Linked DNA regions of Arabidopsis thaliana. The protein of the gene in region 2 interacts with the protein of the main gene of each other region in a pairwise test. Each region holds a gene or a part of one and is shown on either strand. Other genes may lie near its edges.

The links.
Region 1: the proteins of AT4G26770 (region 2) and AT5G55330 interact in a protein complementation assay, tested with the Arabidopsis thaliana proteins (one large-scale study listed by BioGRID).
Region 3: the proteins of AT4G26770 (region 2) and AT3G26110 interact in a protein complementation assay, tested with the Arabidopsis thaliana proteins (one large-scale study listed by BioGRID).
Region 4: the proteins of AT4G26770 (region 2) and AT4G03600 interact in a protein complementation assay, tested with the Arabidopsis thaliana proteins (one large-scale study listed by BioGRID).

The regions. Positions count from the first base shown.
Region 1 is NC_003076.8:22,436,718-22,440,953, forward strand, and holds AT5G55330 (MBOAT (membrane bound O-acyl transferase) family protein), read right to left. Parts: upstream 2,168-4,236; 5' UTR 2,149-2,167; coding exon 1,108-2,148; 3' UTR 754-1,107; downstream 1-753. Other genes in the region: AT5G55340 (MBOAT (membrane bound O-acyl transferase) family protein), read right to left, coding at 3,268-4,236. UniProt on the Arabidopsis thaliana protein: Catalyzes the final step in the synthesis of long-chain linear esters (waxes).
Region 2 is NC_003075.7:13,479,978-13,485,626, forward strand, and holds AT4G26770 (Phosphatidate cytidylyltransferase family protein), read left to right. Parts: upstream 1-2,086; 5' UTR 2,087-2,241; intron 2,242-2,574; 5' UTR 2,575-2,602; coding exon 2,603-2,809; intron 2,810-2,881; coding exon 2,882-3,296; intron 3,297-3,371; coding exon 3,372-3,513; intron 3,514-3,587; coding exon 3,588-3,744; intron 3,745-3,835; coding exon 3,836-3,883; intron 3,884-3,960; coding exon 3,961-4,047; intron 4,048-4,135; coding exon 4,136-4,264; intron 4,265-4,347; coding exon 4,348-4,404; intron 4,405-4,479; coding exon 4,480-4,563; intron 4,564-4,630; coding exon 4,631-4,720; 3' UTR 4,721-4,966; downstream 4,967-5,649. Other genes in the region: MAP65-2 (microtubule-associated protein 65-2), read right to left, coding at 35-190, 353-568, 645-890, 975-1,178, 1,252-1,323; AR192 (Co-chaperone GrpE family protein), read right to left, coding at 5,089-5,187, 5,283-5,411, 5,491-5,649. UniProt on the Arabidopsis thaliana protein: May be involved in the synthesis of minor phospholipids and in modulation of IP3-mediated signal transduction.
Region 3 is NC_003074.8:9,539,400-9,542,937, forward strand, and holds AT3G26110 (Anther-specific protein agp1-like protein), read left to right. Parts: upstream 1-2,083; 5' UTR 2,084-2,173; coding exon 2,174-2,560; 3' UTR 2,561-2,765; downstream 2,766-3,538. Other genes in the region: AT3G26100 (Regulator of chromosome condensation (RCC1) family protein), read left to right, coding at 26-410, 508-750; AT3G26115 (Pyridoxal-5'-phosphate-dependent enzyme family protein), read left to right, coding at 2,902-2,976, 3,126-3,434, 3,522-3,538.
Region 4 is NC_003075.7:1,603,070-1,606,603, reverse strand, and holds AT4G03600 (pyrroline-5-carboxylate reductase), read left to right. Parts: upstream 1-1,975; 5' UTR 1,976-2,295; coding exon 2,296-2,784; 3' UTR 2,785-2,966; downstream 2,967-3,534. Other genes in the region: AT4G03610 (Metallo-hydrolase/oxidoreductase superfamily protein), read right to left, coding at 27-62, 143-207, 306-411, 500-641, 739-869, 973-1,114, 1,399-1,565.

The DNA.
Region 1 (4,236 bases), on a different chromosome or scaffold from region 2:
TAATGGGTTGCTGAGTTTAAGCAAGTAACATTGGTTTTTGCTACAACTACAACTTACCCACTACTTCCGTTATATCAGTATTAGAATCAGTCCTTGACTCCTTTCTCTGTTTACACAAAAATAAAAAAAAATAAAAATCAGAACTCTTCAAACGCCTCTCTGTAATGTGATTTGATATAGTGTGAATTAGATGAGTAACCAAAAGCGTGCCAACAGCCAACTAATTAATATTCAAAGTAAAGAAGAAAAATAAAAAGAAAGTGAGAAATTGTCAAAGAGTTTATGGTTCATGTTTAGTTGAGACTATCGGTGTAAGGTGGTAGTTCTCCGTATGGGAGAATTCACATGGTTCAACTTCAAGTCAAGTTTAACACTAGACCAGTATACCTAACTGTCCAAAAATATTAATCACCGATTTATTTCATCAAATTATTATAAAGTTATATTTTTAGTATAGACAAATATATGAGGAATTTTCATGAAATACCCCTTTTGAATCTTAGATGTACCAATTTTCGAAAAATACTATTATTCAAAAAGACTACTACTCTACCGGAATATTTTTAGTAAATTTGCCATATTTTTCAGGTTTCTTTATTTTTAGGATAGATGAAAAATGAAGTTTTGTCTTCAACACCTATTAATTTATTTGTAAGATAGTTTAGCGAAAACAAAACAACTTTGATAAATAAACATGTAAATTTTATTAAGGGGAAATTGGAAATAAAAGATAAATATTTAAAAAAATTTCCATCTATACATTTTATGATCAAGATTGGTGACATATGCGTTTAATATAATTTAAATCCCACTATATCTCCAGCTTTTTTATGCTTACAAAATACAAAACAAAAAGTCCAAACCAATTTATTTTTACTTGGAGCAAATCAATATTCTTTTACTTGGAGTCGTCGTTCATCACTTCTTCGATATTGTCTTCCTCTATTCTTCACAAAAATTAAGCTGTTCACTCCTCTCAAATAACTCCAAAACAAAACTCTTTTTTTTTCAATTTATCTTTCTTTATTTCCCTCGCTTCAATTTCTCTTAGAATCTTACCATCTCTTTCTTTAAATATTTATCCTTTGTTTCCAATTTTCCCATTTATTAAAGACTCGTAAACAACCCTAAGAGGATATATAACTTACGATTAAAGAAATCAATTAGAAACAAGTCTTCATTGATGAACCTCTCCATCAAGCCGTGCCTAATAGGCTGGGGGGAAAATAGCCAAACACCAGTCACAAACACAAACCCCACCGTAAGCAGTCTCGACACTGCCGGATTCACCGGCCACCGCTGCACCAACTTCGTCTTCCTCTTCAGTGCCACTTCAGCCGCCATGCAAAACCCATGTAACACAAAGAACCAAGTCACCTCCCATGTAGGCTTCTCACGTGTCAAATAGAAGTAGAGAATCTCGTGAGCCACACCAGAGACGAGGAACGTGGCGAAAATCGCGAAGAACCGATCCCACTCGGAGCTCTTGGCTCGCCATTGCCGTATGGGGTTGTACACTGCGAGCCAGAGAATCTTCGAGACCATGAGGTTCCATCGGTGACCCCAGAAGTCATGTAGAGAGGTGGCTAAGTATGGTTCGTTGAATTGTGGCTCGAGGTCACACCCAAGAGTGATACTGACGAGAAATTTTATCAAGGTTAAGGAAATCTCAAGCTCCAAGTATATATGCAGAGCATAGAGACCCAATAGAAAATTCGTAGATAGAAATTGTTTGTAATGATACGCTTGTAGTAACAAGGCACCAAAGATGAAAACTTTCAGGGCAAAAACCCATTTGGGGAAATGGTTAGTATTTTCAGGGTTAGGTTTTTTTTGAAGCTTGATGGGGAAGCAAGCAAAGCAGACGAAATGAGGGAGATTAGGAGGAAGTGGAAAAAGAGGACCTTTTTCTAATGCAAAGAGGATGAGTTTTGGAACTGCAAGACCTGAGAGGAAAAATGCAATAGTGAAAGAGGAATGAACAGTGGAGAAAAAGATAGGAATAATAAGAAACAAAACACAAACAGGAAGAACAGATAGTAATCGAAGAAGACTGGTTTTGATTTTGGGTGTTAAGTAGTAACAATAAGTTACTGAAATGATTGCAGAAACCCATACTTGGATGAATAACTTGAGTTCTTCCTCCATGGTTACTGGTTAAGTGATAATAAACCAAGAAACATAGGAAAAATGTTTACAGTTGTAGTATATAAGCGTGGGAGCAATTAATAAAGACAGTATGTTTGTTACACATTTAAGGGAAAAAACTATTGGCAGTTGTTGAGTAGTTAATGGCTCTGGAAAATCTATCAAATTAAGTACTTTCCTCTTTTATGATATAGTAATATAGTACTAGTAGTGTATGTAAAAATAAAAAAAAATAAGTATGACTACCGTTTATAGTTTTTCTTTTCAACGTCTTAAATATTGAATTTTTTTATGAAAAAGTTAGCAGAGCAGAGCATAATTAACACTCGTAAAAAACAGTGAAATAAAACTAAGGTTGTCGTTTCTCCTTAATGCGATTATGAAGCCATGCGGGACCTCCCGTTCTAAGTACGAGTTGAAACGCACCCATCTCTCGTAACACAACTACACAAGCAATATCAATATATCATAAAAATTCGTTTTCGCCTGGAACTAAAGAATTTGAATGATTCAAAACCTGCAATAAGTTGACGAATTCTACCGATGAGGGAGCAATGAAGCTTCTATTTCTTAAATAATTTGACAGCAGAGTAAACATTTTGACCTATGCTTGACGTTATATGGGAAATCCATATAGTTTTTTTCTTCCTCTCGCTAACGCTCTTTGGCGATCTTTCCTCCCAACTATGTTGTATTTAGATAATCTCTCTACAAAGGGTTCACGTGAACATGACACAAACAGTAGTCGAGGGAACAAAAATTGATCGATCGATAGGAAGTGTTGGTTTGGTTCCAAGTAACACTATTATTTCATTCTTTAGTTCCAAGTAAAAACAAATCGTCATGTACAACGAACTTGGAACTGAAGCAAGTCAGTTTTTTTAGGGTTTGATAAGAAAGAAAGAAACGGCATGAAGAGACCAAGAGACATGCTGGCAGCATCTTAAAGAGTTTCTACTAATTCCAACTTGCCGACATCTTCAACAAGACAAGTTCGATTCATTTCAAGATAAGTAGTTGACCATTATGGACTTTGATGCTCAACCGGACTCAATAACGTTAACTCGTGCTCATTTAACACTCGTTATAAAATATCCCCAACAACGTAAATAAAATAACTTATCGCTTAATGAACTCAACGAGCAACACAGCTTCAGATGTGAATCTCTCCATCACCCCGCTCCTTTTAAGCTGAGGTGTAAACAACCAACCACCAGTCACAAACACAAACCCCACCGTGAGAACCCGCGACACCCCCGGACTCAACCGCCACCGCTGTGCTACCGTCGTTTTCTTCTTCACCGCCAATTCTACAGCAGTACAAACGCCATGTAACACAAAGAACAGAGTAACTTCTCCTGTAGGCATCTCACGTATCAAATAGAAGAAGAGCAATTCGTGAACCAAACCGGAGACGATAAACGCTGCCAAAATCCCCGGAAACAGAGCCCAACCGGAACTCATTTTGCGTTCAGAGACTCGCCGCATTGGTGCGTAAACGGCTGGCCGGAGAATCGCCGGAACCATGAGATTCCACCGGCGACCCCAGAAGTCTTGTAGAGATGTGGCTAAGTACGGTTTATTGGACTGTGGCTCAAGATCGCAGCCAAGAGAGATAAAAACAACAACTTTAACAAACGTTAATATAATCTCAATCTCTAAGTAGAGATGCACAAAATAGAGACCTAATAGTATAGTCGGAGACAGATTTTGTCTGTAGCTATACAAATGTAATAGCACTGCAAAGATTGCAAGTTTAATGGCGAAAACCAATTTGGGCAAATGGTTTTGAGATTTAGGGTTTTGCTGAACCTTGATGGGGAAGCAAGTGAAGCAGAAGAATCGAGGGAAATTTGTTGGAATTGGGATTAAAGGACCTTTATCGAAGGAGAAGAGGATGAGTTTGAAATTAGCAAGCCATGTGAGGAAAAACGCTGTGATTAAAGATAAATGCAGAGAGGAGAAAAACAGAGGAAGAACAAGAAACAGAGCAAGAACAGGGGAAACAGAGAGGAATCGAGGAGCACCAGATTTGATTCTAGGTGGTATGTAGTAACAATAAGATATCGAGATTATTGCAGAAACCCA
Region 2 (5,649 bases):
ACACATTGATTGATACATTACAAATTTACGATACCTGTTCGATAAGATCAAGTGCGAGAGCACCAGAGGCAGTCACTTCATGAACTGAAGCTGAAATGTTAGAGGTAACATGGTCAAAAAGCTCCCTTTCCTCATCAGAAGTATCCATCAGATTCCATAGATCAGTTAGCTGAGTAGCTAGTTCTTGAAGCTGCATAAAACCAAGATACATTAATGAAATCCACAAACAAGAATGGTGCAGAGAAAAGTTACAAACTTTCAGCGCAATTAATCAGAAAGGATTTCAACATATGTGCAGCCTAAACTGACCAAGCTCATGTCAGAGATCACAAAGACCATGATTTTGACTAACCTTCTTAAGTCTTTGCATTTTATCTTCTTTAAGAGTCAAGACAGTCTTAGCCAACCTTGCAAGTGTTTCATTGCTAATGCTCTTGGTTTGAACACCATTTGCCTCATCTAAGCTCGGATGAACTTCGGTGACAGTGCTTAAGAAATCTAAACGAAGGACGGCACATAGATCATGCACCGTGCTCACAAACTCGAGCACCTTCTGTAACCTATCACTCTGCTCAAACACAAAGCAGTTTTAGTTCTGGTTTGAACATAGGCCACACATAACCATATCCCAACTAATATTTTACCTTCTCTTTCTGGAGCTCTTGGAGTTTCCTCTGGAAGTCATCTAATCTCTTTAGAGACAAGTCAGTCTCATCAACCACATGAGGTCCATTGTTCAATCCGCCAGCGATCTCCTCACATATCTTCTGAATCTGTGATTGTACATCAGAAAATGCCCGGACCCTTTCCTCTTTCTGTTGCCAAAGTTGTTCAAGCGCAGGTGCTATTGCAGAAAGTTGTTCTTTGATCGTTCCTGAAGTCTTATCAGGCTGCAATGGAAACAAAGACATTGAATCACACTACACTGTAACCATCTCATCTCTTTACCACTTGTAAGACGTGAGATTACTTACAATGTCGATATAGCTTTTTTCCCCGAGAGCAGTTGTGAGATTGGAAAGTTCAACAGTGGCATCTGACAAAGTCTGAAGAAGCTCTGCACGAGATTTTGCGGCTAGCTCAACTTTCTTTTTGTAAACATTCAGACACTCTTCCTCAATCTGTAGAAGCAGTTTGTCTCGTTCTTCATCACTCTCCCCAACCTCATCCCAGATTTCCTGTAACAAGTTTGTACATTGAGTTTGTGGAACCATATATTAAAAGGATAAGTGTGTATGTTGCGAAATCTACCTGCAACTTCTGTAGTAAGGTGCCACAAGTGATTTCACCAAGAAGAGGATTTTCTGCTTCTGTCACTGCCATTCTTGTGAAGTCAAAAGGTTTCCTACAAAAGTAGAAACAACGAACATATTTAGTGAAGATCCAAACTAACTATACACTAAAAGAAACCAAAGTTGCAATCTTTTTTAGAAAACCAAATTGAATCAGAAACAACATTTTGAACTTGGGAACAAAAACACATCAAAGAACTTAGTGAAGCTAAGAATGTGAAACTAAGCTCAAGAAAAGCTCGAAAGGAACTTCAAAGAAATCAAACAGCATTGGTGATAAAACCAAAGCCAAAGCAAGAAATCAACATTGAAGAAGTAAAGAGGCAATGAGCTGAAATGAAACTAATCGAATCCAACAAGTAGAAGATGGCTTTCTTACCTTAATCGATATTGAATCCAAATGGTTTATCTTCCTCTCTTTTAGATCTGAAGCGACGAATAGTCACTGTGAGAGTAAGAGAGAGAGAGAGCATAGGAAACAGAGAAATCTCCAACTTTGGTTATGGAGGTTGGGAAATGGGAAAAGTGGGACCCATTTTACGGAACTCAATAATTAATGAGGAAAAAACAACAGCAAAAAGGTGAGAGACCCTGTCTTTTCGCGTTATTTACTGATTTGACCACTGATCTCACAGACCTCGTTGACTCCTCATGCTCATGTCTGAATAGTTAAAAGGCTTTCCTTAATGGGCTTAAATATCTGACCCAGCCCAAACAGATCAAGACAACACGTGTCACTCATTCCGGGTTTAAACATGAAGCAGCGACATGAATAGTTTATTGGTTCTCTCTTCCGATGATTTGATGAAACCTCACCGCTAAGTGCTCATCCACCACCTTCCTCCTCCTCCTTCTTCCCTCACCTTTTGAGTTTCTTTCTTCACGTTTCTTTTCATTAATTAGGGTTTCGCATTTTCAATCACCATCATCCCACCACGTTTTCGTTAATGTAAGTTCATTCTCTTTTTTCTACTTGTCATGATCCCATTTTGTTGCAATGTTCACTTATGAAATTTATCCTTTGTATGTGAATCATCACGTTTTGCTTTGATGAATCATTTAGATTTCTAGGCTTACACATTCAAATCTAAATCCTCTATTATATGCTTGTTACACAAGTAATCTCTCATCAGATATCAATGTGTGTGTTTCATTAAGACGTGTATAAGCTCGAGTTATGGTTGACATTTTGAAATTATAGATCAACCCCAAATTCATTTCCTCGGATGTATAAAGAAACCCAGATCATCATGATTAACTGAATTTCAAGAACTCAATCCAGGAACTGAGAGCATTTCCTAGGGATCTCAATGGCAATGGAGAAAGATCTCAGTCCAAATTCTCCACGGATTAGAAAGCTAAGGGATACTAGTTACCCTACTACACCAACGTCTCGAATGAATACTAATAACCAGAGAGATAACCATTATCCCAACATTCCTAATTCACCAAGGGATTACAATTATACTCCTAGCTCTCCAACAGCTCGCATTCGACACCGCAGGCGATCAAGCGAGGTATCTATACAATGTCATACTCTCTTTTCCGGTTGAATCCAAAATTTGATTGTCTTTTTCAATATTGATCAGAATTTAGCTGAGGTGAACAGAAGCAATGTAAGCAGAGTAAGCAATTTGTTACTTGGTGATAAGAACAAGTACAGATCAATGTGGATAAGGACATGCTCATCTCTCTGGATGCTCGGTGGAGTTGTGTTTATAATCTACATGGGTCATCTCTACATTTGGGCTATGGTTGTGGTTATACAGATATTCATGGCCAAAGAGCTCTTCTTTCTTCGCAGAAGAGCTCATGAAGAACGTCGCTTACCCGGTTTCTGGCTCTTGAATTGGCACTTCTTCTTCACGGCTATGTTGTTTGTCTATGGACGCATCATTCAACAGCAGCTAGTCAACACGGTTTCTTCAGATAGATTCATATACAAGCTTGTGAGTGGTCTTATCAAGTACCAGATGGTTATTTGCTACTTCTTGTACATCGCAGGTTTGTCTGTTTCTTTTTTCTTCACAAAAACAATACTCTCTTTCTTGATTTATTAACAGCTTAAGTTGGATTCAGGTCTCATATGGTTTATCCTTACATTGAAGAATAAGATGTATAAGTATCAGTTTGGGCAATACGCTTGGACACATATGATCCTTATCGTTGTCTTTACTCAATCTTCTTTCACCGTCGCCAATATTTTTGAAGGGATCTTCTGGTACAATGGACTCTTATATATATCCACTGAAGCATAATAGTTTTCCCGAGTGCTAATTTCTTTTAAATATGCAGGTTTCTTCTACCAGCAGCACTGATTGCTATGAACGATGTAGCAGCTTACTTCTTCGGTTTCTATTTCGGGAAAACTCCGCTCATCAAGTTGTCTCCAAAGAAAACATGGGAAGGTTTCATCGGAGCATCAGTTGCAACTATAATCTCTGCATTTATTGTAATAACCTTCTTCTATCATTTATTCATTCGTTCGTAACTCTTTCTTTTGGTCTCAAGACTGATAGATTATTATCTGCTTCGTACAACAGTTTGCTAATGTCTTAGGCCAGTTCCAATGGCTTACATGTCCAAGGAAGGTAACAAAAAGTGATATCTCCATCACAATATTTTGTCTCGGCCTTTACTTCATCCTTGTGTTGCATATCTTTTGCAGGATTTATCAACTGGTTGGCTTCATTGTGATCCAGGCCCTCTCTTCAGGCCAGAGTATTACCCATTTCCCTCTTGGATTACTCCATTTGTAAGCAATTAACTGTCCTCTCGTGAAAACCAGCCGATGATGTTGTCTTGTTTTGAAACTGAGCTCCGTTGTGAACTTTGCTTAACAGTCTCCATGGAAAGGGATCTCGACCCTGCCTGTCCAATGGCATGCTTTTTCTCTCGGTCTATTCGCATCCATTATGGCGCCTTTTGGTGGCTTCTTCGCAAGCGGTTTCAAAAGAGCTTTCAAGATCAAGGTTAACACATTTTTCAAACATTAAAAGGTTTTGTATCTACAGATCCAAGAACAAATATTTACTAGTTTATGTCGCTTTGACAGGATTTCGGAGACAGCATACCAGGACATGGAGGATTTACTGACAGAATGGATTGCCAAGTAAGAGTCACTAACGTCGAAAAGTGCAATATGATCTTTGCATCGTTTTAAACGAATCTTGTTGCCTAAATGCAGATGGTTATGGCGGTTTTCGCATACATCTACATCCAATCTTTCATTGTTAATCGGGACTACAGTGTCGAGATGATCCTAGACCAGGTAAGAATCATCATATAAGCCAAGAATACGGAGGCATTGTAAATAATTGATTGTATTATACCTGCAGATATCGAGGAGCCTGGGACACGAGGAGCAGAAAATGCTTTATGAAAAGCTCGGAGACATTCTTCAACATAAGTTGCAAGGGAGGTTTTAAATAGTGAGTGCAAGTTTTGTGACTCTGTTTTCAGCTTCTTTCTCTATGGTTAGTTTCTGGTTGTATCAGACCATGTAAAACCTTGATTTGTATCTGATTTAACTAATCAAACAGAGACTTGGTAATAGTGTGCGAGTAGAAGAGATGTAAAATGATATTTTCCTCGTTCAATTATAGCATGGAGATAGAGAAAACAGACACAGAAGCAGGATTTCCCCTGCAAATGCCATGTCCAGCAACTTATGGGAGATCTTGTTCATCTAATGAATAACCAAACCACAAAAGAAAACTATGACTCGAAGACTCGAGAAGATGTTAATGGAAACATAGAACCGTAACAAAATTTATGAAAACCAGCTGACTTCTTCTTAAGCATCAGACTCTTTCTTTTCTTCTTGGTTCTCTCCTCCCTGGGTAACACCAACCTCAGCTGGTCTTATAACTCGGTCATACAGCGTGTATCCAGACTGCACATATTGACACCCATCATTACTAATTGGTATTTAAGACTATACAATATGAAATAAAGAGACAAAGAATTGAGCAAGCTTTATATATTTACCTTCAAGACATGAGCAACTGTGCCTTCTGGCTTAGAAGCATCAGGGACTTGGAACACTGCGTTATGTCTGTTTGGATCAAATGGCTCGTTTATAGGATCATACTTCTCCATACCAAATTTCTTAAATACCTGCAGCGGCACACATGTTTAACCGGTCTCATCTGCATTGCTTACTTAAGGTCTTATAATTACATTTCTCGATATTTACCTCAGCAAGCTGTTTCTCAGTCATCTCCACTCCTTCTAAAAGGGTCTTTAATAGTGGAGCTGCTCCAGCAGAATCTTCTGAGGTGTCAAGCTTTGAGAAGCTTTCTTTGACAACCGAAGAAGCTCTTCCAAGATTATCCGCCACATCCAATAGGCTCTT
Region 3 (3,538 bases), on a different chromosome or scaffold from region 2:
TGACTCTGTAGCATGCTTATTTTAGGTCTGTTTACTCAGTTGGTTGCGGTTTGGGAGGCAAACTTGGTCATGGGTCAAGAACAGATGAGAAGTATCCTCGGGTCATCGAGCAGTTTCAGATATTGAATCTTCAACCTAGGGTAGTTGCAGCGGGTGCTTGGCATGCCGCGGTGGTAGGTCAGGATGGAAGAGTGTGCACTTGGGGTTGGGGAAGATATGGATGTTTAGGTCACGGTAACGAGGAGTGTGAATCAGTCCCTAAGGTTGTTGAAGGTCTAAGCCATGTCAAAGCAGTTCATGTCGCAACAGGAGACTACACTACTTTTGTGGTCTCAGACGATGGTGATGTTTACTCGTTTGGCTGCGGCGAATCCGCTAGTCTCGGTCACCATCCATCCTTTGATGAACAGGTTAGTGATTGGCCATGGCCTCCATTGTTTCTTTTGCTTACATTATATGTTCTAAACTTATGTTTAGTCGTATGTCTGGTTTGATTTTTTGTTGCAGGGTAATCGACATGCAAACGTGCTAAGTCCAACGGTAGTAACATCGCTAAAACAAGTGAACGAGCGGATGGTCCAGATAAGTCTAACGAACTCCATATACTGGAACGCTCATACATTTGCGCTCACGGAATCGGGGAAGCTATTCGCGTTTGGTGCAGGCGATCAGGGTCAGCTTGGAACAGAGCTTGGTAAGAACCAAAAAGAAAGGTGTGTACCGGAAAAAGTGGATATCGATCTCAGCTAGCTAGCTGACTTATGTGGTTTGGTTGGTAAGAAACTACGTTTGACATCAAGGAAACAAAAACGCAAGAAAATTTGCGTTTGCTTTTTATGTTCATAAGACTTGGAAGCTTGTACAAAAAGGGGAATAACATAAACTTGTCTTTAACATTTCATTGTATAGGGTTTTTAGATTATTCTAATTGTTCATTGGTTAAGTTTTAGGTTATGTTGTTAATAATTATCAAATAATTTCATTAAATCAAATTATTGTCAGATTCAATTTCTACCAAATTTTTATTTTATTTTCTGTTTTCATATTTGTTGGGTTTACATCTATATATACATTTTTGCAGCCATTTTGTGATTTACATTTATATATACATCAATAAATCATGGAGTTGGAACTTATTTACAATGGTTACCACTGGCTTATTCAATGCGAAAATTAACTATCAAATAAAAGCAAATCTTATTCAAAAGAATATGCTCTTATTCCATGGCCTAGTTATTTTTGCCAAAATGGTTAAAATATTTAAAAATTAAATAATTATTTGAAAGAAAACTTTAAATTGATTTAAATTATAAATCTTTTAATAAAAATATTAATAAAAAAATAAAATAAAATAATTTCACCGAACATGATTAGATAGTAGGACTAGATGGTATGACATGTTTATAATATTATAATATATAAACTTTATAACAATTAAATAAATATTTGAAAGAAAACTTCTAAATTGATTTGAATTAAATATTTTTTAAATTAAAGTATTATTAAAACAAAAATAACAAAATAATGTCTAATTTTACTGAACAGGGTTAGTGGTAGGACGGGTTTGGTCGATAGTATTACGAGACGGTATACCACAAGTGAAATCCATTAGATATGTTTAATTTCATTGTGCATGATTAGATGGTATGACGGGTTTTGATCGATAATAATACGAAACGATATACTACGGATGAAATCCTAGATATGACAATTAAAATCTATATATATATTATCTTAAACACTAAATAAAGCAAACAATATTAATAAAACAAATATCTACATATACATTTTATATAACAAATTTTATTAAAAACCTAGCCCCGCGGTATACCGCGGGTCAAAATCTAGTTAGAGTACTAATATTCTATCGAAGAAAAATCTAAAATCCTATTTCTCAAATTGTTTTTGCTATATTTGATAAGATTAGAATTTAGAAAAAGCTTAATTAGGAGTAGAAGATAATATGTAATTTGCAATTTTTTCCTCAACCTTTAATATTTTTGGCAAAACCTCAAATTGCGTTGAGTCATCTTAGCACTTTGATCAAACAACTATATAAGCAAAGACCCTCATTACACAATTCAAGATAAATAAATAAAACAAAATACCCATAAAACATTTTTCAAAAAAAAAAAGTTTTTTGGGGATTACTAAATAACTAAATTAAAAAATAATGGCGCGTCTTCACCTAGCTCTCCTCCTCCTCTTCGTCGCTATCTCCGCCGTGATCGTATCAGCTGCTGAGAACGAAAAACCACCGTCAACCACCACCGCCTCAGCTCCCACCGCTACAACTCCAACCGATGGCATTGGAGGTGATATAGCAGAGGGTCCAGCTGATGACAATGCTATTGGAACAACTGACAACGACGATGCAGCTGTTACTCCCGATGATGCCAATGGAGATGATGAAGTGGCAGTCGCCGGACCTATTGGAAGCGATGCTTCGTACGCTAACTATCCTCCACCACAAAAAGAAGCTTCCGGAAGCGATGCCACCGTAGCTTTTGGCTTTGTCTCTGTTGTTGGTGCAGTTGCTGGATCGCTCTTCTTTTTCTAGAGTTGTGATCGGCGCGCGAACTTATTACTATTGTAATAAAAATGTTTGTAATATTTTCTTGTTTTAGATGTATTTTGACGATCCCTTCTTCGATGTAACATTGATTATATTGGGATGATACATATTTAATATACTAATATAAAGAAAGTTTTTTATTTGTGGGGTTAATATATTTCTGCATCTCATAAATTTACAAAAATAGCCCACAATATATGGGCCGTATTTTCTCACAGGGCCTAGCCCATCAACGTGTGAGTAAGCGCGTGTTTTTCACGTCTAAAAACCTCCATATCTTCTCCGCTAGCTCCGGAATAGAAGAAATTTTGCAGAGAGAAGCGTCAATGAAGGTCCAACGGTCAACTTTTTTGGCGGTGACCGGAAAATCAAATCTTCATCACTTTCACTCGTCTTCTCAGGTTCTCTTTTCTCTTCTCTGCGTCATCTAAATCAATTAAAAATCGTTCCTTTTGTCACTTCTAAGAATACCCATTTGCAATTGCAGAAAAAAATCTGAACTTTTTCTGATTTCATTGCGTTTTGGGGATAATGTCTTAATCAATTTCAGAGAATTCCCATTACTTCCGAGATCGATTCACGAGAGTTTGTGTCTAAATTACTCGATAGAAAATGGGGATTACAGTGTCCTGCATCTCCAATTCAGCAGATTAGTGTTTCTTCTGTCAAAGGAATCGATAAATTCTCCTTCTTGAACAACACTCGTCCACATCTCGGAGATGAAATGTCGAAGTCGAAGCAAGGATCTTCTTTTTACATTCTTAGAGATGATCTTTTACATCCTCTTGTGAATGGTAACAAAGCTAGAAAGCTTGATGCTTTGTTACCACTTGTTGAAGATCATAAAGTGACTGATTTGGTGAGAATGTGATCACTTATAATATCTCTCAACTGGGTTTTTTTTTGGAAATGGCTTAAAGTTTAGAAGTTTTTTTCTTGTGTGTAGGTTACATGTGGAGGTTG
Region 4 (3,534 bases), about 12 Mb from region 2:
AAAAAAAGAGAACCATTGAAACAAACCTCTGTAAAACAGATGTGTGTGGGATGTGGTCCTCTCTATTATCAAAGAGATGGTCAGCAAGAAAGGTTATCAAGATCGAAAAAGCGGTAAACAAAAGTTATGAGATGATGTGAACCTTCCACGGTATATTTGTATCCAGGATAAGAAGATCTAACTGTCCAGCCCCAGCTTTGGAAATAGCTGCTTAATCAAAGATTCATAAGAATATCAATCTTTCTCTTTAGTAGAAGTGAACTACAGAGGTATAATGATTAGGGCATAACATAATGAGCTCTTACCATACTCGGTACTCGGTGGAATCCGTGATACGTCTGATATATAAGCCACTTTACTTTTATCGCCGAAGAGGAAACCTAAAGCAATGTAGTCCTCTCCATGCATCACCTAAAGCATAACTAACATTGTTGAGTCTATAAGGTCTCATGGAAGAATTAGACTGTTTTGATTTCTCAAAAGTGAAAAGAAATTTAACCGGAAGAGGCGTGAAAGATAAGCCCGAGGCAGCGAATGGTTCGTCACAATTCTCTTCGATGTTTTTCCAGTCAAGAAGTGAAACTCGTCTAGGTACTTCTTTTACCTTCTTTTCAACCAAATAAGGAAACCTTGTAGCAATACTGCACAATTTTTTGTTGCCTTAAAAGTCTCATCAAATGCTAATTTGAAAAGCTTTAAGCCAGAGTTGAGATAGAGAACACTAATCGAAGATGGTACCTCTCCATTGTAAATTGAGATAGAAAGACGGGAAGTGGATCGGTATCAACAATAGTTGCACCACGAGGTTGAAGAGATCGAATTTCATCTAAGCCATGAACCGCATCTGCGTGCTCATGAGTTAGAATGATCTACACAAAATCATACAAGCATTAGTCAGTAAAAGTTAGATTTCATTTCAGAGAAAAAAATAGATGCAAGAGATCAAGAAGATAAGTATATAAAGGGCTTAACGGAATCGACTCGAGGAATCTTATAAAAGGTAAACCAACGAAGGACTTGCTCTCTAAAACTCTTGCCAACATCAATAAGTATGTACTTATGTCTACCATCTTCTTCCTTGCTGCAATAATCAATCAAGAGCGATGTATTGCATCTGCCAAAAAACAGAGAATCAAGATTCAAGAATGTTCACCAAACCCTAATATATCTGAAATAATTTCCCAAGAACACTAGAAATCGGATGGTTCATTTTTACCTAAAATGGATTAAAACCTAAACTCCAACACGAATATAGACAACAGTAGATGTCTCTTTTTTCAATCAAAACTCCCAACTTCAAAAGGGTCTTTACGGAAAGCAACAAGATTTGACATTTCACAAATCTCCACAGCTTCAAAGACCAAAACCCAAAGAGAAGAAACTGATGACAAGATTTACCTGTAGTTAGGGTTAAGGTGAGGAAGTAAAGAGAGGGACTGAGAACAGACATGGCAAGGAGGATCTGACGGCTGGAGTAAGCATCTGAAATCGGGAACTGCACCGGAGCAGCCTGTTCCAAGAAAGATCAGAGCCGTTCCATCATCATCAGATTGATTCTTCTCCATCTTCTCAAGATTCTGATCTTCTGGTTGGTCTAGCCAAAGCTGATTAATGCCAACGGCTATATCTTTGTTTATTGTATTAGTTGAGATTATATGCGATCCCTTACACAAACTTGTCTTTTTCACAGTATATATATTCCTTTTATTAACATAAAATATCTAAGCCATTACTTTGAGTCTTTGACACTGATATATGTAGTCATAATGATATTGACTACTAATTTTTCCAAACAAAATAGTAAAAGATTAATGACTTACCCCACAAATCCACCGGATTGTGATTTTTTTTGTTATATATCATTGTTTGACTCCTCTAAATTAGAAAAAAATCTTCTACATTTCTTTTTCTGTATAACAAAATCTTAAATTTAAATCGTTATGGTAACGAAATCTTTTCTTTTGTTTTTCCAGTTTATTGATTAAATATACTTCCACAGAATTTAAATTTACTTAATTATTAAAAACAATGCAGTCACAATCTTTCCAATTACCATTTCATTATCTCACAAATTCGACCAAATGTTTTTCATATTTCACAAAAAAAAATATATTAAAGCGCGTGTGAACCATAACCACGCGATTGCCAGCTCAAAAACAAATTCACAAAGAAGCGTACACGACACGCGCTACGACTGAGTGTAAGGATTCTCATAAACTGCTCTATTTTATTTTGCTCAGTCGCAGACAAATCTCAAAACAGATTCGATCGATAAGCAAGAACTTCCAATCTCTAATGGCAGATCAAACAGAATCTCCAAGATCGTATCATATCTTCATCACAATCATGAGTAAAAGACGGACATGGGTTTGTCTCTTCATCGCTGTCTACGCAATTCTCGTATCTTCTTCATGGAACCTCCTGAGATCAGTTCTTAACTGGTACAAGCTTCAATACACGTCATCAAATTCAGATTATTCTCCTTCAAGATTACCGGCGGTATACGCGTCGGTGGTGCTCGGTGCGATGTTTGGAGCTATGTCGATGGTGGCTGCTATGACGGTGGCGGTTCCGGCGGTGATGGTGATTTGGATATCGGTGGTGGTGTTGCTTGCCTTCTTTGGGAAATCAAGAAGAGTTTTAGTGGTTGAAGGAAGGAAGATTACGAGAGAAGTTGTCGGATTTGTGTTTAAGGTTCTTTTGAAAGAAGGCAATGTTGTTGCTGCTTTTTGTGCTGTTTTAGCTTATTTTCTGCTTATTAGAAGAGATTTTGACTCATATTAAGGTTCTTGATTTTTAGATTATTTAGGGAATTTTGATCTAGATTATCTTGAGTCACTCCCGAATGTAAATGTAAAGTTAATTTAGAAAATCAATTGTTAGTAGTAGAATGAAGAAGTTCATGATGCATTGGCTCAATTTTTTTTGTTTGTGGTTAGATAATTTTTCTTGATGACAGCATTTAGTATCTAGAATGGATCGTCCCACAACTTCTCATTTGAGATATTGAAAATCATGATTTGTTATCCGTTTGTGGGTTCATTGCCACACAATTTCAACACATGGACCAATAACCAAGTGATTTACATATCCTATTAAGTTTGTTATCAGTTTTCACTATTTAAGTTACCCGGTTATTATTTTAGTAGCTTAAAACTACATCAACTAGTTGAAGAGGCATGTTTTGCGAAGATAAGATCATATAATAATGGGTTACACAACTTCTTTCTTACTCAAATTCCTTCTTGAGGAAGGTGTAACATTCCAACATTGAAGTAGTGGATTTCACACACTGATACTTATTTTTATAAGTACCTTTCTTGATAAAAAGAATTCTAATACCTCAACTAAAAACTCTAATTTGGGGAAAAAAATTAATGTCTGCAAACCTTTTATAACAAAAAATTCTAAGAACTCTAAAATCATGAAAATGCGTGAATCTTTTTGTCTTTGGAACATATATTGTTGAACTTTTTTTTTTAACTGAGCAAAAAAAAGAATTTTTTTTTGAAAGACCAAATTGGATGACAATTA